Lepisosteus oculatus: one gene and its partner. The protein of the gene in region 1 binds, or shares a complex with, the protein of each later gene. Links are inferred from orthologs where the notes say so. Each region holds a gene or a part of one and is shown in the gene's direction. Other genes may lie near its edges.

Region 1 (15,485 bases):
TGACTTTATAAAAGAATTTTTTTTTTTATGACACGGTGCATCTCTGTTATGGTTAAATAGGACTGGGCTGTATAACATTTGTAAGCCTTTTCCCCACTCTGTAGGCACGGCTACACCTGCTTGCTACATTGAAAGGCTGCCACCTAGAGGCTGCTGAGTGAATCACAGCAAGGGCTGGCAGGAATTCATTGAAACCTGAATGGGGCTTAACAAGTCTGTTTCAGCAGTGTTTCTACAAGCCCACACACCCTTCCCAAGAGTGTACGTACCCTCAACGTGCAGTTCTCATCCTGGTTGTCGTAAAAGTTGCAGGTCCCTTTTGAACAGCAGTAGTTCTGCAACTCTGCCCACAACCTGAGACAGAACACAAGCAGGACTGTAATCAAGAACAGCAGGAGACCATCTCCTCTCTCTTAGAGCCCCCTGTACTCTGTCAGCAGGTGGCCTGGTGGTCTTCTCTCTGTCAGCAGATCCTGGTCCTGTGGCTGGGGTCGTACGGCCCGTTTTGCTTGGCTAAGCAAATGGCTTAATGCACACTCCACATTCATTTAAAACTATAACAGAATCCACATCACAAACGTTTTAAACAGTGTTCAAGCAGTATTCATCCATCCTCATGACCTCTGTATCCAGTACAGAGTCCCAGGGGAGCTGGGGCTTATCCCAGCAAGGCAGGGTACACCCTGGATGGGACACCAGTCCGTCGCAGGACACACACAGGTACAGACTCCCGTCAGTTTTCCCACAAGCCCCCTAAACCCTCCCAGCATGTCTTTGGACTGCGGGAGGAAACTGGAGCTCCCGAAGGAAACACCATACAAACTCCACACAGACGGCACCCCCGGTCTGGAATCGAACCCGGGGCCCCAGCACTGCGAGGCAGCAATGCTGACAACTGCACCACCATGCTGGTCAGCAGTGAACACCTGCAACCTTAACTCTTCATGGGAAGGAAGCTGTGAGAATAAACGCAGCGCTAACACTCCCATGACATCAGCGCCTGTGAGGCCGGCTGGGAGCTACGCCATTAGTTCTGGTTAAGGACACACTGAGCACTGCGATCACAGCTCGGGACGGCCCCCTTGCTTCCACCTGCGGGACGGCGACATTTAGAGAAACATCAGAGTCTCACTTTGTTCCCAGAAGCCCGTGGTAGTAGGCAAAATAGACCAAGGAGTTGTCATTCATCTCGTAACTGGACATCCCGTTTCCAACGGCAATTCCCTGGGAAAGACAAGACCGCTGGTTAGAATCTCCCTTTTCTCTCCGCGTCCTTACGCTGCCTGAGGGACTGTTCCCAATACCTAGGTCTTTGTCCATCCGCCCCCCTGAGTTTTGGGAGGACACGCCCCCAGTGGCTGGACACGCCTCCAAAGTTGAGAGGACACGCCCCCAGTGGGTGGACACGCCTCCAAAGTTGAGAGGACACGCCTCCAGTGGGTGGACACGCCTCCTGGTTGAGAGGACATGCCCCCGGTGGGTGGACACGCCCTGATATTTGAGAGAAGACGCCCCCTGGGATTTGAGAGGACACACACACCCCAATGGGTGGACATGCCCCCAGAGTTTTGAAAGGACACGTCCCCCCACCCCCGAGTTCTGATAGGACATGCCCCCATTGGGAGGACACATCCCCAGGGTTTTGAGAGGACAAGCCCCGAGTGGGATGACACGCCCCTATATTTTGAGAGAGCACTCCCCCAGTGGGTGGATACGCCCATGGGCAGGAGCACACAGGGGTTTCCTGAGAGTTCTCTCGGGCTGGCGGTCCATAGAAAGTTGGGTATAAACAAAACTGGCAGCTCAAAATTTCAGAGTAATAACGACATAAATAAAACTGAAAAGTACAAAGAACATTAACAGTGTGTATAATATGCAGGTTCAAACAATCACAACTTTGGGGGGTCTCTGCCCATCAGCCACCTGCAGGTTAATGCTGCTGTCCTCCATCACCCTCTCGGCCAGCGTAGGCACGTAGATCCCGCCGTAGCTCTCTCCCGTGATGAAGAACTGGTTCTTGCTGTACTCTGGGAAGAGGTGGAAAAACTCCTTCAGGGCCAGGTAGTTGTTGAGGGAGACCTGCGGAGAGGAGCGGACAGCCATCTGAGCTCACGGTGCCGATCGGGACTGACAACGCGCCTCGGCTGCAACGGCATCTCCATCAGGACCTACTGAGGCACGTGCGTGCGCCTCTCCGCCCATCAGTGTCGATCGCTGGATCGACGCCCAGCTACTGCATAAGCGTAAAGGAACAGGCAGCGGTATATTCCACTCTTAAAAAACAAAGATGAAAAAACAAAACGTGAGCCACAGCTGAAGCAATTTTTTTTTAACGTTCTTGCCTCCTTTCAATTTTAAACAAGCAAAATATATATTCCAATCACTCGCTGCAGAATGAATTACAGTCCGTGCTAGCAGGGTATTCGTTAAAACCTCAGACTGGGGCTAAACGTGTCTGCAAAGGAACGGGTAAAGGTTGATTCCATGCTGAACGGTACCCATACCTGTTCCTTTGCAGCCTATGTATTCTGACAGCTCCCTAGGCGAGCTCCTCTAAACAGGTCCGCTCCAGCAGTGCCTGTTCTAGAGCCCACACACCTCCCAGCTTCTTCTTCCCACTCCACGGTGCCTGTGGGGCTGGAGAGCCGACGCATCTCCCCTCTCGAACCTCGGCATGTTTGCGGACGGAGCAAAAAAACACCCGAGCGGTCAAGCTCTCGGTGTCCGGTCTGTGTCCGCAGCAGGACGTGTGCAAAACCCCACGGCGCTGGGAAACGGCGGCGCCAGGACACGGGCTCCGTCCCCCCCGCTGACTCACCTCCGTGTCGTTGGTGACGTAGTCCTTGTCATCCGAGTAGGAGAAGCCCACCCCTGCTGGAGACTCCAGGTACAGCATGTTGGCTATCTGCGGACGACAGGCACGCCCGTGAACTCCCAGGTCCCACACCCTTCCCTCTGGAAATCTTCCACGCCCCACATCTCAAAAAGCTGTTTAATTTTTCATCTCAGATTGTCTTTCCATGAATCATTCATTTGAACGCACTTCTGACTCGCCATTTGCATGCCGCTCTGGGCACAGGGTGGTATTTCTCGGGGCGCAGACCCAGATGTGTCAGTCGCTCCTGTTGCTCAATATCAAGACCGCACAGTAGCTAGGATGTCAGCTGGCTCTCCGACAGCAGTCGGCGCTCGTGAGCTCGTGTGGACAGGTCTGCCAGGTGCTGGGAAAACGACGCGTAACTTTACTCCAGATGTAGCAGGTGAGGGAAGCTCACGGCTGTCCTCACGTTTGCTCATCTTTCAGACTATCGCAGGAAGGGCAATCCCTCGACCACTTGCTTTTTCACTTCGTTTTGACACAGAAAAAGAGGTGAATGTGAATGTATTTGTTAATTTGTTGACGTGTGTGACTTCTCCTATAAAAAAAAAAACTCTCAAGTAACGACTGTTCCACTTCCTCCTTTAATCGGGAAAGGAACCACAAAGCAGGGCGCCGGGATAATGCTCAGACCCGATCGGAAACCGGAACCGGTTTAGAAACCCGAGCAGAACCGGGGAGCGTACCGTGTTCCAGGAGTAGGGGTTGTACTTCAGAGAGGCGCCGTCATCTTGGATCTGCAGCAGGAACAGACGTGAATCACAAACAGGCCTTCATTCGCCCCCGCGCCCAGATCTTTCAACACGGCTGGCAGGGAGCGCTGCCCAAGGCCACACGCAGACCTGGCGAAGGAATCAGGCAGACCCCGCCGCCCACTGGATTTGGTTTTTCCCGGGAACCTCCCCAGAACGCGGGAAAACGTGCGCGCCCTCCCGGATCTTTCCCAGGGCCGTGCGGGCAGGCGCTCTTACCAGGAACGGCCCGTGCTCGGTGAGCAGCCCATCCAGGGAGCTGCACCCCGGTCCCCCGTTCAGCCACAGAACCACGGGGCTGCCAGCCGGGTCCTTCTGGGACTCCAGAAACCTGCAGGAGAGGGGCAGGGGCCGGGTCACGACATTCCCTGGCGACAAGACAGCAGAGAGCTCGGACAGGGAGGAAAGCGAGAAGTAGCACACAGGCGGGACAGGCGATATGCAAAGACAGGCTCTCTTTTCGAGAGGGTATGAGACGCTGCAGCACAGGGAGGGGCACACACTCAGCTTTAAGGGCCCAAGTCCATTCTGTGAGCCGGATTATTGTGTTCTGAAATAGCAACTCTCTCTTTACCAGCATCGGATTGTTCCTGTCTTGTTACTGGAAAGGTAGGTAGCACCTTCTGATGGCATTCAGAGCAGTGATGCCTGTGAAGTCGAGCCGAACAGAAGGCCCTCTCACGCAGGAGTCTCAGGAAAAAGGGAAGTGGGATTGGAAGGAATACAGAGCAAGCGGTTTCAATTCCTGCTCCAGACACCGCATGGCCTGGGGCCCCCGAGCTGCAGCTGCGCACCCTGCAGCAGGTCTGTGAATGTTTATTCCCATGAGCTCAGCTCACCTCATGCTGCACAACACAGGAGGCACAGAACCCACCTGGCAGCAGAGGGCTGATTGCCGGTGTACGTCTGAGCAACTGCTCCTGACCTTCATGGAATTAACCTGACGTGTCCATGTGGGCTCGCTGGCATGGCCAGCAATGGACAGGCACCCTGTGCTTCCAGATCCCTGGGGTCCTAACCAGGAATGAGGGGGTTCCCGATCCCGGGAGAATCCCGTGACGCGCCCTGGGAACTACTGGAAACTGAGGGCCCCCTCACCTGGGCCGCCTGACTTCTCCTGGAAACCAAGTCACCAGCTCCAGGGATCCCCCCTGGGAATTTCCCACGCTCGCTTCCCAGAATCAGCAGGGAGCAGGAAGGGCAGTGAGCTGGAAAGATCAGGGGTTGGGACCACACTCACCAGTAGTGCAGGTGCTTACTGCCGGACACGTTCAGGTAGCCAGAGTACTGCCTGAAGCCGGGCTGCTTCTCCAGGCCCGGGAGGTACTTGATCTCGTCCGCGTCCGGAGCCCCCTGGACCCTCAGCACTCCCAGCAGCAGCAGCGGCAGCAGCGCTCGGTCCATCCCTGAGCGGCACAGGGACAGAGGGGGGCGTTACAGACACACACACACACACACCGCCTGCCCCAGGGATACTGCCCGGCCCTGTCTGGAAGGGAAGTGTCTCAAGACGGCTCCATAGCCTCAACATTGCGTTTCTTTTCTTCTCCTTCCAGCGGGGAAGAAACCTTAACTTTCCAGCCCACGCGTGCTGACGCAGCTGCCTACTTGGACTACTAAAGAGAATGAGCTCCTGTAGCCCGTGGGAGACCAGGCGCGTCCTGCGTGTCCTCATAACGTGTCCGCTTCTGCGCCTTGCCTGGTTTCGCCTTCCCTGTGTGTTTTTTTTTTTTTAAAAGCCCATCGCAATGTCTTTCAATCACGGAAACCAGCGCTATTCGTGGGGGAACCCCCCAGAAATACAGGACAAGGCGGCAGGGGAGCCGGGCAGTCACGCAGAGCTCCTGGAGCAGGGGAAAGGGCAGAGCTCGTTTTTCACTGCCCCTCTGTCAGGCATCAGTCTGAATGTCGTGTGTTGAAAAGTTACAACAACAACAACACAAAAGATCTGTCGCGGCACCCGACCGAAACATCTAAACGTTTCTAAAAAAAAAAACAAGACCTCCTGAATGCCGATTACACGAACAGAAACGAAACTAATAACTACACATCCGTGCACCAACCCCCGCCGCATATTTCTTTCGAGGGCGGTATCTTGAAGCGGCTGCCCAAATTAATTCACAATAAACGACAACGATTTTCACCTCTCCGGGAAGCAGACCGGTATGGAAAGTTCTGCGATTTAAAAACAGTCCCCTCTGTGTGGGGACAACAGAAACACAGTGACGTCCTCCAAAGATGCCACGAAACTTAGCGACTGGCTGAAATACACTCGTACATTTAACACAAGCTGGAAGCCGTCGCTTTCTAAGCGCTGTAACCGAGTACATCACTGTAAACGACAATGATTTCAGCTTTACCTTTTTGTGCTAGTCCGGCTCCTTCCTGAATGCGCTCTGACCGTCGAGCGCCTGACTTGGGGGGTGAGATCATGTGACCCGGCTGATAAGGGACGTCACATGACTGGGGCGTCAGGTGACGAGGGGGGGCGATCAGGATCACGTGACTTCGGGCAGCTCGGTAGCCGTCTGGACGGACGGGGAGCGGAAATGCGTGGAAACGGGATGTTTTCCTGGGGTCGGGGAGGTGTCCTGCGAGGTTGTCCCTGTAGTATTAAAATCCGTGGGTCAAGCACCCCGGCTCTATCCCTGTGTCTTGTGCACGGGGCCTGGGAAGTCCTCCAGCGTTCAGGGAGTCCTGTTATCACTGCCCTCTCCCGGGCCTTTTATGGAGACCTCAAGTCCGCCCCCCCTCCCCCAGTCTCCTCTGTCCCCCACAGCACTCTGCCACCTGTCAGACAGCTGCAGTGACGACGCACAGAGCCCTGCGGCAGGCCTGAAATAGCCAGAGACCCGCTTGAGGCCTGCCGGAGAGGACGCAGTCGGGCCGGCGCTGAGCTGGCGGGAGAGCAGGCCCAGATGGAGGGCTTCGCCGGGCGCTTCCTGGAGTTCCACCCCGTCCACGGCGCCAACGTCCGCCTGGATCAGGCGGGCACCCGGGCCACGCGGGTGGAGAGCTTCGCCGACGGGCTGTGCTTCAGCAGGCGGCCCCTGGCCCCTGGCGAGATCTTCCTGGTGGAGATCGAGGACAAGGAGCTGGGCTGGTGCGGACACCTGAGGGTGGGGCTGACGGCGCACGACCCCGGCGGCCTGGCCGCGGTGCCCGAGTACTCCCTGCCGGACCTGGTGGGCATGGGCGACAGCTGGGTGTTCGCCATCACCCGGAACCACAACAGGGTGGTCGAGGGAGAGGGAGAGGGAGAGGCAGAGGGGGGCAGCTCCCCCAAGAGCTTCTTCACCGACACCCACCTCCACATCGGGGGCGCGCGCATCCCCCGGGACAAGCTGGTGGGCCGCAGCCGCCCGGGCCGGTTCAGCCACATCCTGGACGACCTGTACAAGACCAACACGCTGCCCCCCACGGCCCGCCGGAGCCGCATCGGGGTGCTGTTCGTGCCCAGCGGGCGGGGCGCCGCTGACATGCACATCGTCATCAACGGGGAGGACATGGGCGCCAGCGCCAGGGGCATCCCCGCCCAGCGGCCCCTGTTCGCGGTGGTCGACGTCTTCGCCGCCACCAAGAGCGTGCGCGTGGTGCAGGTGGAGTACGGCTGTGAGTGTGGCCCGCGCGCTCTGTCTGGGGGGGCGTCCAGCAGGCCCAACCGCCTCTCGGTGAATGTCAGCAGGCTTAACCTCCCCACCTTTTTGAAAGCCCCAGAGAATGAAAAAGTGCAAATTAGTCGGTTGGTTTTCATTTGGTTATGCAAAGGACCTGCATGTTTACAAGTCCTGAGTTTTCCTGGTTAGTTTAGCATCTCTGCGACCTGATGTCTCCTCCCCTTTCACGGTGAAATGAGCAAAGACAGGGTTTGCTACAGCTTGCAGAGGCCTGCATGAAACGAGGCCCCTGCAGCAGCGAAGCCAAATCACAGCCTTTCCTGTTGGGTTTTTCTCCCTCTCACTCTCCTGTCTCTCGTCTCAGTCCCCTCTCTGCAGACCCTGTGCCGCCAGACCATTCAGAAGCACATCGTCCACAGGATGGCCCTGGACTGGCTGGAGCTCCCTGAACTCCTCAAGCACTACTGCAAGTACGAGTGACGGAGTCGGGGCGCCAGGGAACGCAGCCGGGGCTGTGCAGAAGGAGGGGCCCCCAAACCCGTGCGACAGCAAGCTCTCGTGTCCCCACTGAGCAGCCAGCAGATACCCCTCTTCCGTTACCCTGGGCGGCCCTCACACAGACAGTAGGGTGCGATCAGAGGAGCCGGTGACAGTCGCTTGGGAAGCATGTTCCTCTCGGGAGGACACGGGCCTTGATTACGGGAATCCTCCCGGAATGGCTTGGGGAAGCTTTATTCCGGAGTTGTCAGCCGTGCTCAGAGTAGGGGGTTTTTGACATTTTTGCCCTGCCCTGCACAGGACCGCCGTTTCTGAAATCATGCTCATGGAGGGTCTTCGTTTTGAACATAAAATCCCAGTCAGCTTCTGCTAATTAATTTATAATGATAGAAATATGGAGAGCTCCCGGTCAGCAGAGCAGACCCCCTGTGTGGAAGAATTGGACTGTTCTGTTCTGTTTCCGGACACTCGGGAACCAGAACCATCATTCAAGCCTGCAGTAAGCTCAACAGCCCACATGTCTTGTTTTGTCTGTCTGCTTTTTAGTGTGGAATTAACCTCAGCTCGTGCCTTATTGCAGCCTTTTCTAGTTGTGCACGAGTCCTGAATGGTATCATAACACTTGGATTTTAAAAGTACTCGGTCTGCGCTGTTGTGGTGACAAGTTTCACATTGTAAGCTTTCAACTGAATCACAACCAAGGAGTCAAGCATCAACAGGTCTGTTTCAAACTGGTTACTTTTGGCAGGAGCACCACATTAAACAATTCTACCTGTATTATCTGTAATAATTTGATACTGTGAAGTACCATGGCCTTCTCTATTGTGTTATTACCTCAGATAATTACGTCTGTCATTGGACTCTGTGTGACACTGAATATTATCAGCAAATGAACTGGGCTAAAGCATTGTTTCTCTATATCACCTGGAGATACTCATCATGATAAAGGCTTTATACGGGGTTTGTTATTAAATTCCACCGTTTAATTTGGTTTGCACAACAAAATAAAGGCATCTACACCATATTTTAATAATGCATTATTATCCATCAGAAAAATCCCTTCTGGCCATGAAAAAATAGCAGGCAAAACTGTTTAACCATTATTTTAATAACCTTAGCTTGTATTCATGTACCCTACAATAATAAATCATTTTGAAAATAGGTTTAAACGCGTTCTTCATTTAATTAAGAAGCACAGCAGTTAAGTTTTTGGTAATTCGGTTACGACAGTTATCAATAAAGTTATTCTCACTCTTTCTACGGACAGACATATTTACAATATCATAATAATGATAAATTCGTATGCTTTGTTGTGTATTTAGGAGCTATAGCCTTCACGCAGAACTGACCCTGCTCAACGTTGCCAAGAGACTGTCTTACGCTACATAGCAACGGCGCGGCGCTAGCGTAAAGCAGGTTGAAACTGTAGTAAATAAGCAAACTGAAAGAAGTGTACTCGCGCTGTAGAGGGAAGCGTTAGGAGATGAGAAGTAGGTCTTTGGTCCGTTTTTGAACATTAATACTACCAAAAACCCAGGGGGAAACGGGCGAATTTACAATTTACGGATTAAAGGTAAGAGCTTATTCTATTAATATGGTTTTTTGAAGCGGCCGGGCTGGTTCATTTGTCTTGTTTCCTTTTAAACCAAAAGTGAAACAGCCGGAACTTTAATATCCAATTTTTTGTAAAAAAAAAAAGATCTCGGGAGGCCATTTCCCTCTTCCCCGTGTAATTTCTGATTTCAGCATCTCATAACTTGACTAGTTCATTCCCCTCGCGTCGCGGCTGGAGGGTCTCGTTGTTCATATTTCTGGCGTCGCCGCCGACGACATTTTAAATGATGAAACCGTTGTTGACGCGTTATTTTATTTATTTAATCCCCCCCCCCAACACCCTTCCCCTATTTCTACGCGAGTCTTTCGGTCTCTGGGGTGAAGCGGGCCACCGAGGCGTCAGGGGCGGGTTCGGGCCCTGTGAGGTGGGGTTGTTCCGCCGCCGGTGAACCCGAGCCCTGAGCCCGGCTCGGCTCTTCTCCGCTCAAAATGGCGGCGGCGGCTTGTCTGCTGGTCGGCTCGTGCGGGCGGGCGAGCGGGGGCGGCGGCGCGAGCGGCTGTCCGTGTGGTGCGCGAGGTGGTGGGGAGGGGGGCGCGCGCGCGCCCGAGAGGGTCCTGATCGTTTCAGAACCCGAGTTTGTTTTATTTCTTCTTTTTTTTTTAACACCTTTTGTTTTCGCGTCTTCGTCAAAGGAATGATGCGGTGTTGTTGTTTTTTTTTGAATGAATGACAGGGACAAGAGGGGTGTATATCTATCTATGTGTGTGTGTGTTGTGCGGGGAAGGACGTAGAGGGTGGTGGTGTTTTTTTTTTCCTCCTAAAATGGAAGTCGCGACCACGACGGCGTTTCTCCGAGAGACTGGGGGGCCTCTTGTTGGCTTCGAGCCCCGGGCAGCGCGTCTTCGGCCGGGGCCTGGACGCGGGTGGTGCAGCCGCGGTTGTTTCCTGGGTGGCGGCCGAGCTTGGCGGCTGCCAGGGCGGGCTGGGGCTGCCCGCCTGCTCGCTCTCTCCCTCCCTCCCTCCGTGCGTCTCCGAGTCCGAGAAAAACAGGGATGAAAATGTTTTTTTTTTTCCCCGTTCTCTCAGCACTCAAAAGGTTTGTTTCTGTCGCGGCGCTTTTCCTCAAGACGGGAGTCTTCCCGGAGGTTTGCAGCCCGGCCGGTGTCGCTAGGGCTGTCGTGGAGAAGCGCCGTGTTGTTGCTTTTTTTTCCCCCGGCGGCACAGTCTCTGCGACCAACAAATAAGCGAATCTTCAGCTGTGAACCGGGCCTGACGCCTTCCCAGTTCAGCCCAGTCAGCAGCCCGTCGGCTTCATGTGTTGGCTTGTGTCAGTCACCGGAATAACGAAGTATAAGCCCGTTTTCTTTTCTGAGGACTCTCGGATCTGTTCCTTCGAAGCTGTGGTGTGTTTTTAAGTAACACGGTTCTTCTGCGGTGCCGAGATGATGTTTGGGGGTTTGGGGAGGCGGTGTGATCCGCGCTGGCCTTGCAGGTGTCGGAAGGGCTGCCGGAGAGTGCTGGTCCGATCTGACCTGTGTGTTAGTCTTGAGGGGGACCGACCTGACCGGACCTGGGCTTTTTGGTTGGGTTTTATCCAGGGTCATTAGGCAGGTATGTGTAACTAGTGTACGAAAAACCGCCATGATTAAGTGAAAGAAAACAATTACCAGAATTAAAAAATCAAGACAAATTCAAATAGTTATTTATTTTAACACGCACCGTTTACAATCCACAATGCCTGGCCTGCAGAAATTAACGCCCTGAAAGCCATGTGTCCCTCTCAAGAATACAACTCACCTGCATTGCATAGCCAACCTTGCAGGGTAACAGCAGTCCTGTAAGTCTGGTGAAGACATGCTGCTTGTTGACAGCATGGCAGTGTACAGGGAGAAACAACACAATGAAATTCCGCCTGTGCTCATTTAGGAGCTCATTTAGAAAAGACATAAACGAAAACCCTCGATTTTGTGGCAGAATACAGAACATTCTAGATCTAGGTGTTTTGTCAACAGGCAGGTTATACCTTTCCCACTTTTAATGCATACCCACTGATTTCATCTTGTGGATATCCAGGCAGGTGTGAAAAGTATGTAAGAAAATGTAGTTTCTCTGCCGTGCGGCTAAGAAGATCTAATAAGTCGCATGTGAATAAATAAGGTTTGTGACTGGAGCAAGACAGCGTGGACAGGTGGTGGGTGTCCGTCTGGTGCCCCTAGTGTGGTGTGAGCTGTAGCCACGCATGTCTGGAAGAGCCTGGCTCTACAGCCCAAGCATGCACGAGGAAATGGTTGTTACTGAAGGGGCTTTATCTGAACATTGTTCCTCAAATCTGTTGGCAAAAGCTGACAAAGCCCCCTGTTTCTACAGCGTGATCAGGAGTGGATATTGGAGGAAAGTGTTGTCAACCACTTAAACCCCCTAAACCACTTTAAAAAAAAATGCTTTAAATTTGACCGGGGAGCTGTACCGAGCAAGGAGGGGTTCGTTTTTTCAGTGTGGAATTAAAATATAAAATATAATTGCACGCTCATAACAAAATCAATCTGGAAGGAGAAATGCAGGGTGTTGGGATTCAGTGTCCTGCAAAAGGGAAACGTTTGCGTTGTCTGAGTCACTTCAGTACCACGAACTGTGCTCAGTAGCACAAGCCCCGAGTTAGTCCCGGCACGAGATGTTGAAAGGTTATTCAGCTCTTTTATCTTTTATTCAGCATTCTGGATTGCATTTTTGCATGTTAAATTTCCCACGCTCCAGCTTTTGTTCGGAAGAGGATACAAGCTCATTCGGCATACTGAAGGAGACCCTGGAAATTATAGTTCTGTGCACGAAGCCGAAAACTGTCACGAATATGTTTTCTCATTCGACGGTGTTGTCTCCTGTGATACAAGATGTGTGTTGGACTGCCGGAATAAACATAAACAGTGGCTATCGGTTAATTTGATATCCTGTGTGTTTTCATTTCGATTTGCATTTCTCTCTTTTCCTGGTTATTTATGGCACAGAAATACATTTTTAAACCTCCCTCCTCCCCCATCTCCTTTGGTGTGTATGTGGACAATACCAAGTGTACCTCTTTCATATTGCTTTCATCTGTGCGAGGAGGAAATGGTCACTGCTGGATATCTTAAGCAATTTTGACGCTTTTATGAGTTTAGCAGAAGGCAAGACTGAAACTTAGTGGGTCTCTTTTTTTTTTTTTCTTTTTTCACGTTGAGGGGTAGAAATTGAGTTGCTCGGATCCGTCGTGGATTTTGGTTTAAATATTTGGAATAGACGTCCCTCCATTTTCCGTGATTTACAAACTGCGAGGAACGGTGCGTCATCTAATTGTGATGTTGAACATGAGTCCAATAAATAAAGATTATTTTTAATATCTTGCTTTCAAAATGTGGTTAATTCGCATCGGTTCACTGTCCTTTTTTTGCCATAATTCGTTTTCCTCGTTTCAGAGAAAAGTACCATCCATACCGTGGTTCTGTTTTCATTTTTGCCTGCTTTCCTTCGCCTTGTGACTTTGTGCTGCGTCCTTCGTCGTTTCCCATCACACCGTTGCGGCACGAGGTGGTGTGTATTTGATCTTGGCGACCGGGCCTGTAAGGTGGCGCTCCAACCGAGAGAACGAAACGGAACCGGGTGAATAAGATAGCGTTTCGTCCCGTGACCGGGTTCCGATCAAGCTCATATTTTCCTCATTCTCGTTCAAGGCGATTTTTCCCCAAAAAAATAAATTAAAAAAAAATTCTGTTGTTATCTCCTTTTGTCGTACTTGGTGGAGAGGCCTGACCTGTGGAATTTTATTCATTTTCTTTCTTCCTTTCCCGTTTTGGCACGCTGATATATTTTAGGACCTGGAGTAGTAGGCGAGTAATATAAGCGCGCGGGACGGGCACAAAAAAGCGGAGAGGCGGACAGGCCCGGCGCTCTGGTCAGCGGAGCGCGGTCGCGCCGGCGGGTAGAGATGTCTCGCAGACGGAGTCGCAGCGGGAGCCCCTCCCACCACACCACCAACAGCAATGACCCGCGGGACCTGGAGAGGAGAATTTTTGTGGGGAATTTGCCCACCACCCTCATGGACAGGAAGGACCTGGAAGACCTGTTCAGGCCCTACGGAAAGATCAACGGTTAGTAGTGTGACGCTACGGTGTCGTTGTATTTTTATTTTATTTTTCCTGTCCCGTCAAAAATCCCGTCTGAACGCGTCTCGGTGTTGTGCGGACCCGACCGCTGCGATGCGGCTTCACCTCGCCAGGCCTGTTGACCACACCCCCCACCCGTAGTGCTCATGAATGGGCCTGCCTTCCTCGGCCCAGCTTTCTAGTGTAAATGTAGATTAAGGGCCGGATACTAAACTTGTATCCTCTCCATCCCACACTTGCTGTAACAGGGCAGCCTGCAAAATATCTTGACTCCGTCAGTCCTAAAATTAAAATACTCATCTCAAATCTTATCATCCCAGACTTAAAAAAAAAAACGTTTTTTTTTTACTGTTTTAATTTAGTATGAACCTTTTAGGATTATAGATCACAAAAAAAGGTTATCTTGTAGCTTCCAGATTGAATCGCATTTTAACAGTGTTAGTTTTTCGTGAATGGTTTGCGAAGACTGATGAGTTAAAAAATAGAGCTAATGCACATTGTCCTACTAGAGACCCTTTCACCCAGTGCCTTGTTCTGCCAGCTGAAACAGCAGTGCTGATCCGGACACAGGAGACAGGCAAATAATTTTGAAGTTTTCCTTTCATTTTCCCACTTTATTTAATTTGTTTTGGAGTTTTGACCTCCACGGCCAACTTCAGACTTGAGAAGTATTTGTCCGTTTCCATGGAGGTGTCTTCAGTGTTGTTAGTCAGAGCAGCCCAAGAACTGTTGCTGTGAATGTAAGATCATCTCGATAAAAGGAGCAAGCAGACTGTGCAGAGCAGTCAAGCCGTTGGTCATAAGACCCAGTTGAGTTAAGGAAACAGGCTATCCAGATAATTCATTTTTTTTGTAAATATATATTTTTGTTTTCTGTTGTAGTCCACTAAGATTAAATAGATTTTGATGCAGTGTTCTGAGAAATATTGAGTCGATAAGTTTTTCAAAATCAGAGCTGACAGTGTCAAGGTTTTATTAATTATTCTGTTCTGTACCAGTTCCAGAGGGCAAAGGATGACTGTGACTGCGAGGAAAGTTCTGCAGCTGAATTGATGTAAACAGTATTTAAGTAAAAGAAATGCATTGCAAACATACAAATATCTGTCCCCTAGCAATTAAACCGAATGTGTGCAAGTAATCAAGAAATATCTGCTGGATTGCCATTTATCAGAAGCACATTGCTGCCATCAAAAAATGTTATTGTGACAGTTCTTGTAAACGCATGATAATCATCACGGAAATATAACTTTTTTTTTGTGAAGTGGTGTACTTCAGTCAGTTTTTTGTATGTGATTTATCATACTGTCAATGTGGAAAGTAAATGAACTTTGTATCTGAGGCTATTTCTTTTTTGTTAAGCTTACTGTGTTAAACTAACCCCATGTAGTCTTTAAGTTTAAAATTAATTCCATTTGTTGTTTGGTCATATGCAATAACAGGCTGGTGTGTGTGTTATACTGGTTGATCTCGCGTTCAGTCTGAAGATTGCCTTGTGTAGTCAACCGTAGGTCGGAAAGTAGCCATATATACCCTGCGTTACAGGGGCATTTTCACAAGCAAAATTTTACATGTTCTAGCTGAGTTTGTCATAAATATAAAGGCCTTTTCAACTTCAGAAGTCAGAATTTACAGTGTGGAGCTTGAAGTAAACATTGCTTGGTGTGTGAATAACTGGAGTAGAATCAAGATCACAAAATGGATGGACCATAACTGCAAGCAAAGCTGAAAGGTGTCCATAGTCAAAAGTAATGCAAAATGTGATCTTGCTTTGTGATCTGTATGAGGATGGATGAAAGAATGAGAATCTCAGCAAATTCCTTAATAAGGCATTTACTACCCTTTTGGCTAAGGTGAGCATTATTGAGTGAGCTGCTTATGTTTTGGACTAGATAAGTTTCAGTACTGTACTTCTGTGCTTCCTCTTGTGTGTTAAAAGTTGCAGATTTGAACCACAGGTACAAAAGTGTGGCAAAAACACACTGCTGGACTACTAATGTAGCAGAGCCCCTTATTCTCCTCTGTCCCCCTGAGAGAGAGTTGTCTTCCTTG
Region 2 (15,030 bases), on another chromosome or scaffold:
GTCCATATCCAGGTGTCCCACGTAACCCATCTTGATGAATTTACTGTAGAACAACCATGTCAGAAATGTCTCTGTCCAGCCTCTTATGCTCTTTGCCATCAATGTCACGAGCAAGGAATGCAAAATACCATGGATATCTCTGGTCCACCTACAGTAGGTGCTCTAAACAAGTTAGTGATGCTCATGCTTTTTAAACTCGAAAATGTCAGTGATTTTCAACATCTGTGACACTCAGATTGATCAGGCACTTCCAGCATTTCAGTGCATTCAGAATAGTCATTTGTTGATGCTCAGTGTGGTACGTGGGTACTAACCGTGCCATACAAATGGACAGTGATTGCGCCTATTCAGCACATGAATATCAATCTCAATTACAGGGCTTGACCTTGGTCTGTCCAAACTCTCAGTGTGATCATGTTAAAGTAAAGTCTCTTGAGCTCGTCCGGTTTCTGGAAGTGTCACTCATTAACTTCGGTACACTGCAAGCTACGTGTCCATCTGAACTGTGCATGGCATTAAAAATCTGAATTTTGATGTAACTTTCTCTGATGCAGGGAAGAGACGAGGCTCTTGCTGTCACCTGCAAGACAATCAATTGTTTTTTTAGGCACACGCTCACTTTAAAGTGTGGCATAAAGCCCATAGAAAAAGGTTAACCCCCAGCTCCTAAACCGACAGATTTTATCCTTGTGTAAAACTCTAAACTAGCTTACTCTCAACACAGAAATTAGAACATGAGTGAGAACAGGAGGGAGAAGTGCAGCACAGAAAATAGATGAGCAACAACAAACTAAAATGAGCTCCACTGAAGCCAAACTATTAGTAAATCACGTAGACCTTGAGAAATATGAGCTTCCTGGTAAATAGAGCTCTACATTACAGTACCAGCTGTAAAAAAAATGTTAGTTTGGAAGAGTCAAAGTCTTTCATTTCATTCGTTTTTTTTTGAGATAATGACTTACTTGAAAAATACGTAAGGAGTACCTTCCAATGATTCCAAATGAAATGATTTGTGCCACTGCAATGCTAAAGGTCAAATGGATAAATACAACTCATTTCTGGAATGTTTAATTGCGCTTCATAGCTGGACAGATACTCCCTATCACGAAATGTACCGACACAGAATGTGAAGTACAGTACGGTCATAAATATCATCCAAGGTTTCCTTTAAAGCAGCAGTACAGCTCGAAAGTTGCTCAACTCAGAGCTGCGTCTCGCCTCCAGCCTGTGTAGCTCAGCTTCCAGCTCTGATTCCACTACCTGGCTGGTGTCCTTCTCAGGTGTTTCGCATCACTGCTGCAATGAGGAGTGGAACAAAGAGGCTTGTTCAGATGACTTTGAGAAGGAAATGCTCAGCTATGCACAGCTCCTAGAGCTTCATCTGCCTACCTCTTAAGAACAGTGGAGGGAATCAATCAATTGCCCTACTTTAGATAGCTTTAGTGCATTAAAGAAGAAAAATAATGTGTCAGCATCTATTTTGACTATGGAAAAACATGTACAGTACAAAAGCATATACAATTAAGAGTACATAATGGTTCCTTGGAGTATAATATGTATTAGCCTATGTGGTACAGTATATAATGTTCATTAAAGGGATGAAAAAAAACAAGCACGCAATCAAAAAGGAGCATTGCAGGATTATACAGCAGTAATTTAATTAGGCTATTAATTTGAAACAAATTATTTGCGGAGTCAATCACTGTTCTGCTTTTCTATTGAGCCTGTTTCCTCCCGTCGGAGTGGAGCTCGTAAAGCGCGCGTGGTAATCCCAGCCGGACTGGCTGTCTTGTCGTCCGGTGCCCAGAGGGAGGAGGAGTACGAGCGCAGGCTGCAGGGCATGAGCCGGCAGCTGGGGCAGCACTGCGAGCTCTACCAGCAGAGCGTGAGCCACAGCCAGAGCACGCAGGAGCTCCTGCGCCAGCACCGCGACACGCTGCGCCACGTGGAGGGGAGCCTGGCGGCGAAAAGCATGCTGAACGACGGCCTTTCCTTCGAGAAGCAAAAGGTGAAAGTCCGGGACCTTGGGATTACGTTAGAAAGGATTTTACAGTTACCTCTTAAGATGTGCATGTCTAATGGGGAAAGGTATCGTCTTGTTAAAGTACCCATCTTCCTTTTCTGTATTCTACGTTTTGTAAGATATTGTGATATCTTTGCTCTCCAGCTCTCTGAATTTTCGGACTACGTTGCCATTATTGTAGATAGTAGAAGGGTGATGGAAGTCTTGATCAACTGAGAATAACAATAACATCACCTCGATATCACTAGGTGAAACCATGAAATGAATTGGGTTTCTGTTCTTTTTTTCCCTCGTAATCTCTTAAAAGGAGCTCCAAATGAGCTCTTTGTCAGCTTATAGCCCCGTTGTAGAGTGTTCCTCCTTCTGTTGATCTATCCTCAGATGTACAGTATTACACAGTTGAAATGTCATGCCATCCACAGATTCATGCATTCTATTAATGCTACACATAAAGATGAATTGTTTATGCACCTTGTCTGTGTTTTATTGCAAATGAGAAGTAGAAAGGGAGACCAAAAAGAAATCGTGGTGTTGCTGATTCAACAGCGGATTGATGGCAGCTGACTCCACCAGTCAACCACATGGTGATACTCATATCCCACGATACAGCAGGCTTGATGCTAGTTGGGAAAAGATGTATTGTAGCTACTGTAGGTTTGTCCTCTCTGCTCTTCCGGATAGTCCCTGGCCTTTCAAGACACCAGGGACACTGGAATCATGTCTGTTGTCGGCACTGAAAAACAGGGAATATTGGAAAACATAAATTGGGTTGGTGAATGGTCAATAGTTACAGTATTAGTGGGCAACTACGTGAGACAGTTTGTGCCTTTTTGTGAGGTTTATTGGGCATTATTTAAATATTTTCTGCTTCTTTTATTTGGCCTCCATTCCACTGTACTATGCAATAAATCTGGTGCGATGTGATTTGGCTGCTTGGTTCTGAAACCCTCAAGTGCTGAAATTCCTCCATCGTCTCTTTCCGTTTTCCAGCAGACAGCACAACAAATCACTTGCAGTTATTAAATATACCGCTTTGTGTTTAACTTCTAGAAAATCTGTGATACATCATTTCTGAATAATCTCAGAAACTATGGTAGTTTCATGAAGAAATTAAGCATTTGATTATTGAGCTATTTGTGTGTTTTTGTAAAGGACTGTAAAGATGGATTTTTTAAGAAAGCACATTTGTATTTATGTATTTGGTAAAAGTGTCTATTTGGATAGATATTAGTCCCCAAGGGACAAAGGAGTTACCTGTGCTTTCCACTTTCCTAACTGTTGTAATAAAGGCTTGTGTCCCTTTGCAGCACATAATGTTTGTGAATGAGATGGCGCAGAAGCTGAATGTGGAGGAGGAGATCTCTGGCAAGCCCCTGCAGACTCAGTACAACGTACTGCTGTCCCGCGCAGAGCGGCTGTCCAGTTTGGGCAGCCAGTCCATCAGTGACTGCAGGGAGCTCATCCATACCCTACAGCACAAGGTGGGCGTCCTCACCCTGAACATATGTCAAAAAAACATGTCCAATAGCACTGTATTTTACAAATGGGTTGGCACATGTGTTGGTTAATGAAAGGAGACCTAATCAGGGTATAAAAGGCTTTCTGAGCCTTTCCCACCCCTTTGTGAGTTTCACACTGTATCCATACCAGGTTTCTTCTCAGAAAGAGAAGCTGGACAGAAAGAAGGCAGAGATCGAGAGCCTCCAGCAGAAGCTGAAGCTGAGGGAAGAAGAGAAGGACCTGTCTGCCCTGCTCCTGAGAGAGAAGATGGGGAGCAGAGAGACTGTCCTGCAGCTGGAGAGGAACATAGTGATGCTGCAGGGGCAGCTGAGTGACTTAGAGAGCACCAACCGCAGCCTGCAGGCACAGCTCGCTGAGGCCAGGCTTCTCCAGGTGACTTAGCAAACGAGTTACAGGAACTGAGCAACTGACACATCAGTGTGTTATTACTTTGAACTGCAGGGTCTTGAAACACAAATCTTCTCTACAAATTATCAGGTGCAAAAATCTATTCAGTACTATCCACTACTAATCCGAACAAATCTTATCAGTTCCTATCCACTATATTCCTACTGCATAACTCTAAAGTTGTATTGTGTGCAGTGAATATAGAGAAGGAATGCACTGTTAAAGGTGAATTGTGAATACTGCTTTGTGTAACAGCAAATCGATAGAGCAGACTTTATAACCTGTGCATACCTGACATACTGTATAGGTAGTAGTGTCTTTTCTGTCTCAGTTTTGTTTTTGTGACAAAAGGACACTCTTGGTTCATGTGGTCAACCGACAGCGTTCTCTCACATAGGTGAAGAAGGACGAAAAGACCAGAAACATCGAGGGGCTGAAAAAGTCGCTATCGGAGAGTAGGAGATTGAAAGAGCTGGCAGAGGAGACGGTGGCGTGCGTAAGAGAAGACCTGCAGCAGGAGAGCGAGGAGAGGCAGAGGGCTCAGACCACACTGCAGGCCATGTCCAATGAGCTCCGAATGACGAAGAGAGCCCTGCGTGAGGTGGCCAGGAGAGAGAGAGAGGTGAGACACAAGCCACAAAAGAAACGCTCAGCTGCCTTTACACCAGTACAGACAGACATCTGGAATTATGTTTTCACTTCTTTTGCCACATAACATTTACATAAAATGAAGTTCAGGAATGGACGGTTTGGTTTATTCAGTGTATGAATTGCAGACACCATGATGATTGACTAAAAAGGCTAAACCTTCACACTACAGTATACAGTATATGATTTGGCAGAGGTTCTATATTCTAAAAGTATTGAAGTAAATAAAATCATGGAAATTGCACTCTTGTGTTCATATTTTAGCATTTCAATGCTGCCTAAAACTGAACCAGGGTAGTTAATGACTGAAACCTAGACACTGTCTTTTCTAAAAAAACCCACAGCTGGTGGATTTTAAAGAATGCATCTTGAAGCTGCTGGGTCTGAATGTCAACACCATGGTCGCGCAGGAGAGCGACATTCTGGCTCAGCTGGAGAGGCGTCTGCGAGACTCACAAGGGGGCGACGGGGGCCAGGTGAGGAGAGACAGGCCTCCAGGAGGGACAGCCCCGAGCGACCCCACACCTGGCAGGGCTCAGCCGAAGGCACCGGGCCTGGCCCCCAACCCCAGCGCCACAGTCCAGCACGTCATCTCTGCCAAAGCTGCGCTTCCAGCGAGCGAGTGGTGAATACAAAGCACAGAACGACACCTCCCTCGTTCTGGATGTGCAAAAGTACAGTTCAGCCCTCATTTCAATCACTCAGATGGACAGACTACAGAAGAATGGCTGGCATCAAACACTTGTCCAACAAATGCATTACAGATGCACAGAGACTAACATTTTTATTACCCATCCATTTAGCTTCAGTGTGATTCTAATGCAACTGCAGGTCACTAAGAAGTATGTCTAATTTTAGCTGGTGTGTATTTTCACCCTTAAATAAAGAGTGACAACGAATGCAACATTTAAAGCGAATAGATCTGAGTGAAGGTGTCTACTGTATCTTTAAAAAAATGATTTACATTTAAGATCAGTATACTAATAGTCCCAGTCATATCTATAAGCATATTGCTGGTAATGATAAATCTCTTCCTCCTTTGATCACAAAACTCCTGCTGCAATATTGCAAACCATTGTTGTTTATAAAGGAAAATGGTGAAAGTGGTGAATTACTTCTGAGATAGATGCCTGCCTTTACAAATGTCCAGATACTCTTCACATTCTCCTCCACAGGCTGCGATTATTGAAATTGTAGATACAGTGTGGCAGAAGCCTGTAATTCAGAAATGATTAGGGCAGAATCCTCCGTTTCAACCTGCACATGATGTAATGAAAGACACACCGCATTGCAGATAGCAAATGGAATTCAATTTGCTTTTTGGTTCTGTATCTTCAATGATTAAGGCAAAATGCGTAATTTATGGAACAAATTACTTACCTGAAAGATAAATTATTTCTTGTCTGAATTAAACTGAATGGGAACAGAAGTGAATGTGGAACTAAGAACAGACTGTTACTTTCTTTTGCCATTGTACTGCACAGCTAGGTTCACAAAAATACAATTCCAGTTAACCCAGGTTGAAATACTTGTTCAATTTCTGAATAAAATAAAAAAAAATGGAGATGTCATAATATTTTCAAAGTGGGACCCCATCTGTCCAACGAAATGACTGATATTGAAATACTTAGTTTCATTCTTCCAGCATTAAGTACTGTGATGGAGACAAAACACAAAATAATCCCTAAAAATTGACTAACCTGTGTCTGATGTTACTCACAGCAATTCTGGAAAGATTGGCATCCCTTCATGGGTCACACCACATTTATGCTTACAGTATTACATTCCATGTGTTTATACTGTATGTGTCTGTCATTTTTGTTGTCCGGCTGTTAAAATATACCTTACAAATAAACAGGGAATATTGGGTTCCCTGCTAAGATCCCCCTAAACTTGGCTAATAGAAATGTAGGACATTTATCAAGAATATTGTCTTGCCAGACCTCTAACAGAGGGGGCCTGAGACGAAACAATGCAGTTCTTTCACACTTCATCGGGCTACATGGGCTGTAAATATACAGCCGATAAAGAGCCAAGTCCATCAGTAAAACACCAGAAGAATAAAGCAAAGAGTGAAGAGGGAATCCTCCTCTCAGAGCTCACAGTTCTCCTGGGCATGGCTCCCAAACCACCCAAACAGTTTCAGGTTAGCAAACGGGTTCCGAGTCCCAGGATCCACTGGATTCCTTCTTTTCGGAGTTCCAGATGTTTCCAACAAGTCTATGTATTCTAAGAGCTTCAGTCAAATTACCTGGATCATTTCATTCATCTTCATGTGGTGTTCTCCTTGAATTCTGGCAACATATTTCATTAAAGCCAGTTGTTATATAGTTCTTACCGGGTGTTTTTCTGTATTTCTGGGAGTATTTCTCCCAGATTCGTTTCTCTTTCTATTTGTTTTGAATGGCTAAAATATAAGGTAAAGGAGAACTCTTTAAACCAGGGGTGGCAAATTCCATTTTTAAACTTATTAAAACCTACAGTATATTAGATTAACCCAGCATTAATACATTGAATAACCCACTAGGAATTGATCCCTGAAAATCATTAATATTTTCAGACAAACTTCAGACTGTTGTCTTATATTAATGTTTTGTTTTTCATTTTCTACTTTGTGGGAACTGCTAGGCATTTATAACGAGCATCATGTGCAGAGCCTAACCTAAATCTTATATATTTTCTAAGTCCCTACCACTTCCACATGTTCAACTTTAAGAGCCAAAAAAGACATTCATTTCATATGCAGGTATCAGCCACTAAAAGCAGCCTCTCTCTGAACTAAACACCCAGGAGACCACTTATCCCCCAGGAAATCTAATTCTGCCCTTGGAGAGAAGCTCAAGAGCCAAAGCTTCTTCCTGAACCCGAGATTACTCCAAAAATTGCTGATCAGAAAATAACAAAGCAAAACCAAAAAAAAAATAGAATTAATGAAACATTTACTTCTTTCCTGTTTTCCGGGAAAGAAGAATTTACCTTCTAGCCTTTCTGGGGAGCAGGTTTTTATTTAATGTTTCAGAGAGAGAGAGAGAACAGAGTGCTGCCATCTTTTGGAAGACAACTGTACCAACAAATGGCTTTGACCAAAAATAACTGTACCCTATATCAGACAGACACTATCATTCCTAAAGTAATTTAATAATCTTGTTGTGATTTAAAATCCACTGTCTCTCTGTGAACGAGCTAGCTTTCCTTTTTTCTAAGCAATGCAACATATTTATTCTAAAGACTCACGGGTTGGGCGACTGGTGGCACAGTGGTTTGCATGGGCCCTGGCTGGAGATTGTATTTTCTGCCTGTGTTCATGTGGGTTTCCTCCCACAGTCCAAGGACATGCCTGTAGATTAATGGGTGTGTGTCTCTGTGTGCCCTGAGAGGGACTGGCGTCCCATCCAGGGTGTACCCTGCCTTGCACCCGTTGCTTGCTTAAATAGGCCCTGGCTCCCCTTAGACTCTGAATTGGAAGACGATGTCAGAAAACAGATGGATATCCTGGAGAGACAGTATTTTCCTTCTACTGTTTTTTTCTATACTTGTAACAATCTGAAATGCATAGTGCATTCTCATAGAGCTTGGAATTGTGGATAAAACATAATAATTGAAGACATTCTTGTACTAGGGTATTTTTATATTTGTATCCACAAGGACCGTGAGCACAAGGGAATATAACAGACCCTCCAAACAGTTCAGTTACAGTACAGTATGTGAAAAGTCGCTGGTGTTCACTGCTTTGGCTGGTCTGAGGATCGCTGGAAAAGTTGTTTTTTTTAATGTTGAGGAAGAATATCTTCTAGCTGGTCACATGAAGGCATCTCCTTCGACTGTCTGGAGTGTCAGGAGGGAGTTACTATTGCGAAGAGCATTGCTACTTTTCTCCAAACAAGTGATGAGAACTTGGCCATCTGCACAAGGCAGATCAGTCACTCCATTAACATTGTATCTCTTTCAAAAATAAAAGAAAGGCTTTTATAGATATCGGTCCAGTTCTATAGGAACTCTGTAGAGAATTGGGACATTTCTATTTAAAACTATAAGTCATCTACTGTATATGGTTATTTACATAATGTGGCTGTCTATTTATTAGTGCCAACTCTGAACATATTCTTTTTGCTACATATTCTTTGAGCCCCCTTTGCGCTGTCGCGTGGTTTAGACCTCAGACTGAACACAAACAGCTTTCTATTAAGAGCAAAGCGGAATATGCGTCCCATTCCTCGTTGCAAAAAAGGTCGCAAGTTCAAGGGATGTAGAGGGCGGGTTTTGGAGGGTGTGGGAGACCGTGACGGCAGCGGCCGTCTCTTAAGTGAATGAAGTATTACAGAAAGCAGCAGAGTTACAAGCAAAAAGGGCTGTTTGAGCATCTCGGAGAGAGAGGGAGACTGCGCGCAGCCTGAGCCGCGCAGCTCTGAGTGAGACACGCCGTGAGAATCCTCTCAGCGCTCTCCCGTCTTACCGGTCCTAGGTAGTAGTGCCAGTTAGCGGCTGATATACTTTTTGTTTTACTACGCTGTACAGCTGGACACGGGAGAGCGGGACCTGCTGTTGCTCAAGAAGATACAGTAGTTGTGTACTGTTTCATCCTCCTGCTGAAGGGAATATACCACAGTACAGTGGCCGTTCCTTCAGGTGTGCGAGAAGGCAGGTATGTTCGCTGGCTGCATCTCCGTCACGCACAGAGATTGATTAATCGCCGTTTGTCAGTTTTCAATGGACTCGTACTACGGTTGTGTTTACTTAGTATTTCAGACAGAGTTCAGTCGGTACCAGCATTTTTAACACCGGCAAACATGGCAAGGGAAGTTCTCGTTGAATTGCATTTCAATTGTACTTTAAAAAAAAAAAAGAAAAGCCGTAATATAAATGAGAGAAATATAAATGGTTTACACCTATGCGCAATTCAACCATATACTGTATCTTTTAGGGCTGCCGACTGCGATTCACATGAAGAAATACTGTAGGGTGGTTTTCCTGCTACGATTCACAATATCACAAAATTGAACTTTTCTCGTTTCTTTTAGCTTTGGATATGCTTAGTTGGAGCAAACAAATCCTGTAACCAGTGCAGTGGGTTACTGACTCGTGTGCGTTCTCATTTTTGTTCATATCTTATCTTATATTATGTGTATCTTATGTGATATTCCTTGCGATTTAAGAAAATGAAACATGTGTTGCCCTGTAAGTAGGAAATAAAACAGCTTTATAAATGACGTTCACGATCAGTGTGGCAGAACAAACCGTTATTTATATTAACGAAACCTCCTTGCCGATTCCTCCTGCAGTAGCGAAGTAGTAAAAACTTTAATGTTCTTGTAACTGTACGAGGTTTTTCCGTTATCGATTGGTAATGACGTTGCACACGCGACTAAGTAGCAGTTCACCACCAAGGGCTATCCGTTTTCAGCCCAGTCTCTTCTGAGGCTGAACTGTAAAGTTGTTGCTGTTTCTGACTGGGCTGTTAGAACATGGCAAGATGTTCAACCCGGAGACCGCACGAAAGGGTTGAGAGCAGATTTCTTTTTAATTTATGTAAAAACTCTACACTCCGGGTAGTCAAAAGAAACAGGAAATCGCCCATTTCTGTCATTCCCCCTAACTGTTTTTACAACTGAACCGCTTATTTCGTACAGGAGTTTATTAGTACACTGTTTTAGTCGTTGTGGTCGCTTTCTCTGCTTTTTTAAAGAAACACTTATCGTGTTTCTATTTAGAGTGTTACGGCACTGCTTTGACAGCATTGTTACCCTCTCTTTTTAATTAACCAATTCGTAATGCTAACTCTATGTTACGTTTAGCTCTTTTTTCTCTTTCTTAAAGCAGCAGTTTAAAAGTTGCAGATTATTATTTTTTTAGATCTGGGCCATACACGTTTTATGCTCAGTTGCTTTAAATCAAAGATACATGTTTACTGCGAGGTGTAACAGCCAGCTGCACAGTAATGTGTACAATACCACGGATCAGTGAGTCCTACACCTTTATCGGTTGGAATACAGGTTTTATGATAATTCATCTGGACAACCTGTTATTTCTGAATGCCTCTGCATTCCCAGTGCCTCCCCTTGAGTCAGTGGTATGTAACAGTGCCTGGTTCCTGAACATTTAGTATGTCGGCGAATATTTATTTTTACATTTTAGTTATTTGCCACAACAAAGTTTAACTTTTCCGGTTCCGAAAGAAATAATTCTCGCCGTGAAGTGTGCTCATTTTAGCGGGCGCTGTGAAACAGTCTTCAATGTTTCGCTCACAAAGAGCAGTGAGTTTCCAGTGCTGCTTAAACCTTGGTTTCATTTCCTAGAATGTCTTGCTGTTTGAGTAGAGTAAAATAAGGCGTAGAGTAAAAAAAGGTCTTCGTAAAAAAATGGAACCGTTTAATTCTGTAACTTGTAACAAATTGATTTGGTAGGGAAAACAGCTTTCATTTCCGAGTGTTTTTTTTCTTCAAAAGCACAAAACACTCGACACTCGACACTGGACTTGTCCGAAATTATTGGTTTATTACAGCTTTCCTGCTTTGCAGCGCACTACCTTTTAGAAGCTCATGGATTCAGTGAATTACAAAAGGTGTGGAAATGGTTCTGGACATGGAGTTTGCAGTTTTTGAAATATTAAGAACAAATTAATGCGGTTTTGGAGACGTTTGGTTTTCATACGGCGTACCTCTGCGTGTCCTGAGCAGTTTCCTGTGAAAGCGTGGTGCAGATGGGTGATATGTACTGTAATATCACTTGCAGGCTCCCGGGATGCCCGAATTTGTTTAAATTGGAAGGTCCTTGTCTTTTCCTCTCACCCATGTTTTGTGAAGATAACTATCTACAGGCAAAGTTTCACTTTTTCATTATTATTTCAGTTTATGAAGACGGGGAAACAATGGTTTTGGGGAAAATATGACCCAGGGGTATACACTTTATGTATTGTTTCTGTTCTTTTTTTGAATGTTTCGTCTGTGTGAGTATTTTTTTGTGTCTAATTGATCAAGGACATCATTCACAAGAACTGCATTGTGTCTTCATAATCCACAGCTACAGGTAATGAAACCAAAACGAAGTTCCAACAACTTACACCAATACGTGGGTTATTTAGTAGACGTACTCTATCAGAATCATAAAAATGACACTGGTCAGCAGATCAACTGTTGGGGCTTATGAGAATGATTTATTATCGTTACCATTTCTCTTTTCATCAGATCCGATATAGGCATTGGAGTGTTAGAGGCTGAAACAGGTTTCTGGGAGAGGGACTGAAAACACACAAGTCTCATAATCTGAATACTCTACACCTCCTCCTGAGCATCTCACATAAATTAGAACTGTGGTTCCCCACCCTGGTTCTGGATGAACACTTTGTCTTCTGGTTTTTGCTCCAGTCCATATTCTTAGTCACAGGTTAATGAGAATTACAGGAGTCTGCTTTCTGAAATTAAAGGTCAAATCGGATTTGGAACTGAAATCAACCATGTTCCCATTTCTGAGTTGCAGGGACTGCCCTACAGTACATTCAGGGATGTTGCTTGAAATATCACAAAAAGAACCTCTGCGGGAGAAAATGCTCATTGTGGCGTGACAGATGCTGTCTCATTCTGACATGTGGGTGTGTCTGATACAGTGCCATTCCCACATATGGGCACATCTGATACAGTGTTATTCCTACCTGTGGGCGTGTCAGATACTGTGTCATTCCTGCCTGTGGGCGTGTCAGACTGACTGAAGGAACAAGTTAAATAAAAATGTAAACAAGCAAGAAGCTTAATGAAATCAAGAATTTGCATTTGAGGTGTAAAGCTCAGCTAGACAAAAAAAACAGTGGACACAAGGTTCCTCTAACAGTGCAATCCTCCATCGGTTTAAAGGTTGATGATTTTGATTCTCAGTTACAGAAGCACAAGCACAGTGCCATACAACACTGATAGAGTTAAGCGCTCATAACCACAGTTTTGAAAACAAAGTCCTTTAAACACTGATTAACTGTGAAAAGATTTTTCAACATTGCGTAGCTGCATTTTGAAGGTTAGCCCTGGTCATGTATTCACACCCTTTAGTACTGGTAGTAAATCCTTATTCCAGATGTATCAGCTCTGATGAGGAGTAAAATTTCTCAGCGTAGTTGCAGGAGACATGTGCCTTATATGAGTATGAAACGTATGCGGAATACTGAAACGTATTCCAAGAAGTCACATTTTTTCCACGTCAGTTTTCCCATATCCCTGTTCACTTACTTCGCAGCTAAAAACTAAGCATTGATTTCCCTCCTAGGATACCTGGCCTGTTGTCAGGTGTTTATATGGTTGTGTGACCACTATTTTAAAAGGTAGCTAGATGGCAGCATGGTTTGCTGGAGAAACTGGTCTCTTCAAGAAGCTCTGAACAAACAGATCCTCCCATAAATTGATAATTGAAGGAAAAACAGCCTAAGTCTCTTGTATATAATAATGCAGGGTTTTATTGTCTCGGCTATAGTGAAAACAATCAGAAGGGAGGTGATTTTTACTGGGTTTGTTTTTTTTGATGATGAGCCCGCTAATCAAATATTTATATGCACTCCTTTCAGATAATATGGAGTTAAAGTCCATACATTAATAAAAAACACTGATGAATCTGTGTCAAGCAAACATCACTGGGTTTTGCAAAAAAATCACCATGGGAAGGCTTACATTGAGTAATAAGTTGTCATTATTATTTCAGGGATAATTTACTGCAGCACCACAAACTAAACGCTTCAAATGCATGTTGTTCCTTTTAAGAACACAAACGTTTAAACCGTGTTGTCTGATTAACAGACTTGGCACGGGCCTTCAACCCGTGCAGTGTAGCTGGCATTACTGGGGCAGGTTTCTGTGGAAGGCTGCCAGAGTCTGCATTCAAAAAGCCCAACACATGCTCCCTCTGTCCAAAGAACAGGGCAGTCGGGCATGTTTCCTCCACTCCCTGCTTTTTCTTTCTTTTTCTCAAGAGCAGCAGGAAAGCTAACGCTTGGAATGAAGTTCAGTTGGGTTCAACACGGAAACGTAAGTGCTCTATTGTGGAACTATTGCTTTTAGTGCAAAATCTTAATGTTCCAGTTCTTTCAGCATCTTTACATCTACAAGTAAATCCTAAAGAGCCTCATTCATGTTTTTTACCTGTACTTTATCTTAAAACTGTATGTGAGAGTGTAGTTTAAAATTATAAGCCAATGGAAAACTAACTTACGTGACCTATTGTATTTATAGCACAGCTCTCTTTGTCTTTAAAGGTTATGTGGAGTAAGAACTCCATTCTCTGAGAATACAGTGTTTTGATGCCACTATGTATTTAAGATCTTGAGCTAACATACTTAAGACATTTAATTAAAACCATTCTAAACTTAATCCTTGGGAAAAAAACACTCAAAAAGGCATGAGTAAAATTTGAGAGGCTAAAATTAAGAAGGTGTACTATTAAAATGACTGATCTGAAAGGTCACAATGCGGGCTGTATTTTGCAGGGGTTCGCAGTTCTGCATTGTGTTCACGGAATACAGTCGTCTATAAAGAGCAATTTCTCCTAAACGTGATGACGAGTGGTAGAGGTCGAAGAGCTAAAGGCTCCAGTCTATGTTTTGTCCACCCGCTGTTCTTGGATAATGCCTTAAGGTTGTGGTTTTGCTTGTGATCGCAAAGATAAACTTCTTGCACTCTGTTATACACAGGCAGAGCCCAGACAGACTATGGACCTTGGCAGTCTGGTATGTAATTAGAGCCATCCTGATCCGAGCTCACGCCTCAGGTCAATAGACCTGTGGACCCAACTCTGAGAAGGCAGCCCCAACACCAGGGTGACAAGGTTGCGACATTTAATAGAGTTCTATTCAGTTGATGGTAGTTTAATGGAAAGGCTTCACGGATGTGAGAACTGTAAGAGATTCTGATCCTTTGATTAGACTACCCTGGATTTCAGTTTAAAACTGCAAGGTGTCATCAAGCTAGTCTAAAGAAAAAGACAATTATTTTAATTTGCCAGTGCATCAGGGCTTTCCCATTGGGAAAACAAAATAGATTTTCAGCCATTACTGTATGTTTATTCTTTTATTTTCACTGGTCCGTTTTCTTGGTATTTATACAGTGTGTATAACATTCATTTTTACAATTACACATTTTTGTGCTCTAACTATTTATTGTGTTGTCCCTTCCTACTGTTTCAGACATGCACATTCAAGTCATTTAGATAAATGGCACAATGACAGGAGACATTTCGCTCCACAGAGCATGTTGGTATTTATTTCTGTGTCATCCCATAGACAACATGAGTTGTACTGGAAGTAACACCAATTACCCGCCACCAAGTGTTAAAATCACACTGGAACTCTTTCACCCAACCCCAAACGGAATAAGTTAGAGAAACTAGAGCACCTGGAGTGAACACAGGGAGAACAGCAAGCTCCACACAAACAGGTTCTCTGAGCTAGAATTGAACTCAGAAACCTGAATCTGTGAGGCACT

Evidence for each region.
Region 2: the proteins of ncoa5 (region 1) and estrogen receptor beta are in contact, whole or in part, in a crystal structure (PDB 4ZI1), measured with the Homo sapiens proteins. The link is inferred for Lepisosteus oculatus from reciprocal best matches to the Homo sapiens genes NCOA5 and ESR2. Residues at the interface, in NP_066018.1 of Homo sapiens: Ser344, Leu345, Ile346, Leu348, Leu349, Ala350, Asp351; in NP_001428.1 of Homo sapiens: Ile310, Lys314, Phe319, Leu324, Gln327, Val328, Leu331, Glu332, Leu490, Glu493, Met494.

The regions. Positions count from the first base shown.
Region 1 is NC_090711.1:2,264,220-2,279,704, reverse strand, and holds the start of ncoa5 (nuclear receptor coactivator 5), read left to right. Parts: upstream 1-9,046; 5' UTR 9,047-9,318; intron 9,319-9,344; exon of another isoform or gene 9,345-9,876; intron 9,877-13,145; 5' UTR 13,146-13,258; coding exon 13,259-13,421; intron 13,422-15,485. Other genes in the region: ctsa (lysosomal protective protein), read right to left, coding at 270-354, 1,133-1,224, 1,924-2,079, 2,819-2,905, 3,565-3,615, 3,850-3,961, 4,871-5,036, 5,991-6,063; neurl2 (neuralized-like protein 2), read left to right, coding at 6,549-7,242, 7,612-7,727. UniProt on the Homo sapiens protein: Nuclear receptor coregulator that can have both coactivator and corepressor functions.
Region 2 is NC_090703.1:7,978,046-7,993,075, reverse strand, and holds the start of estrogen receptor beta, read left to right. Parts: upstream 1-8,913; 5' UTR 8,914-9,221; intron 9,222-13,313; exon of another isoform or gene 13,314-13,578; intron 13,579-15,030. Other genes in the region: coiled-coil domain-containing protein 170-like, read left to right, coding at 1,808-2,008, 3,331-3,504, 3,674-3,916, 4,329-4,553, 4,924-5,208.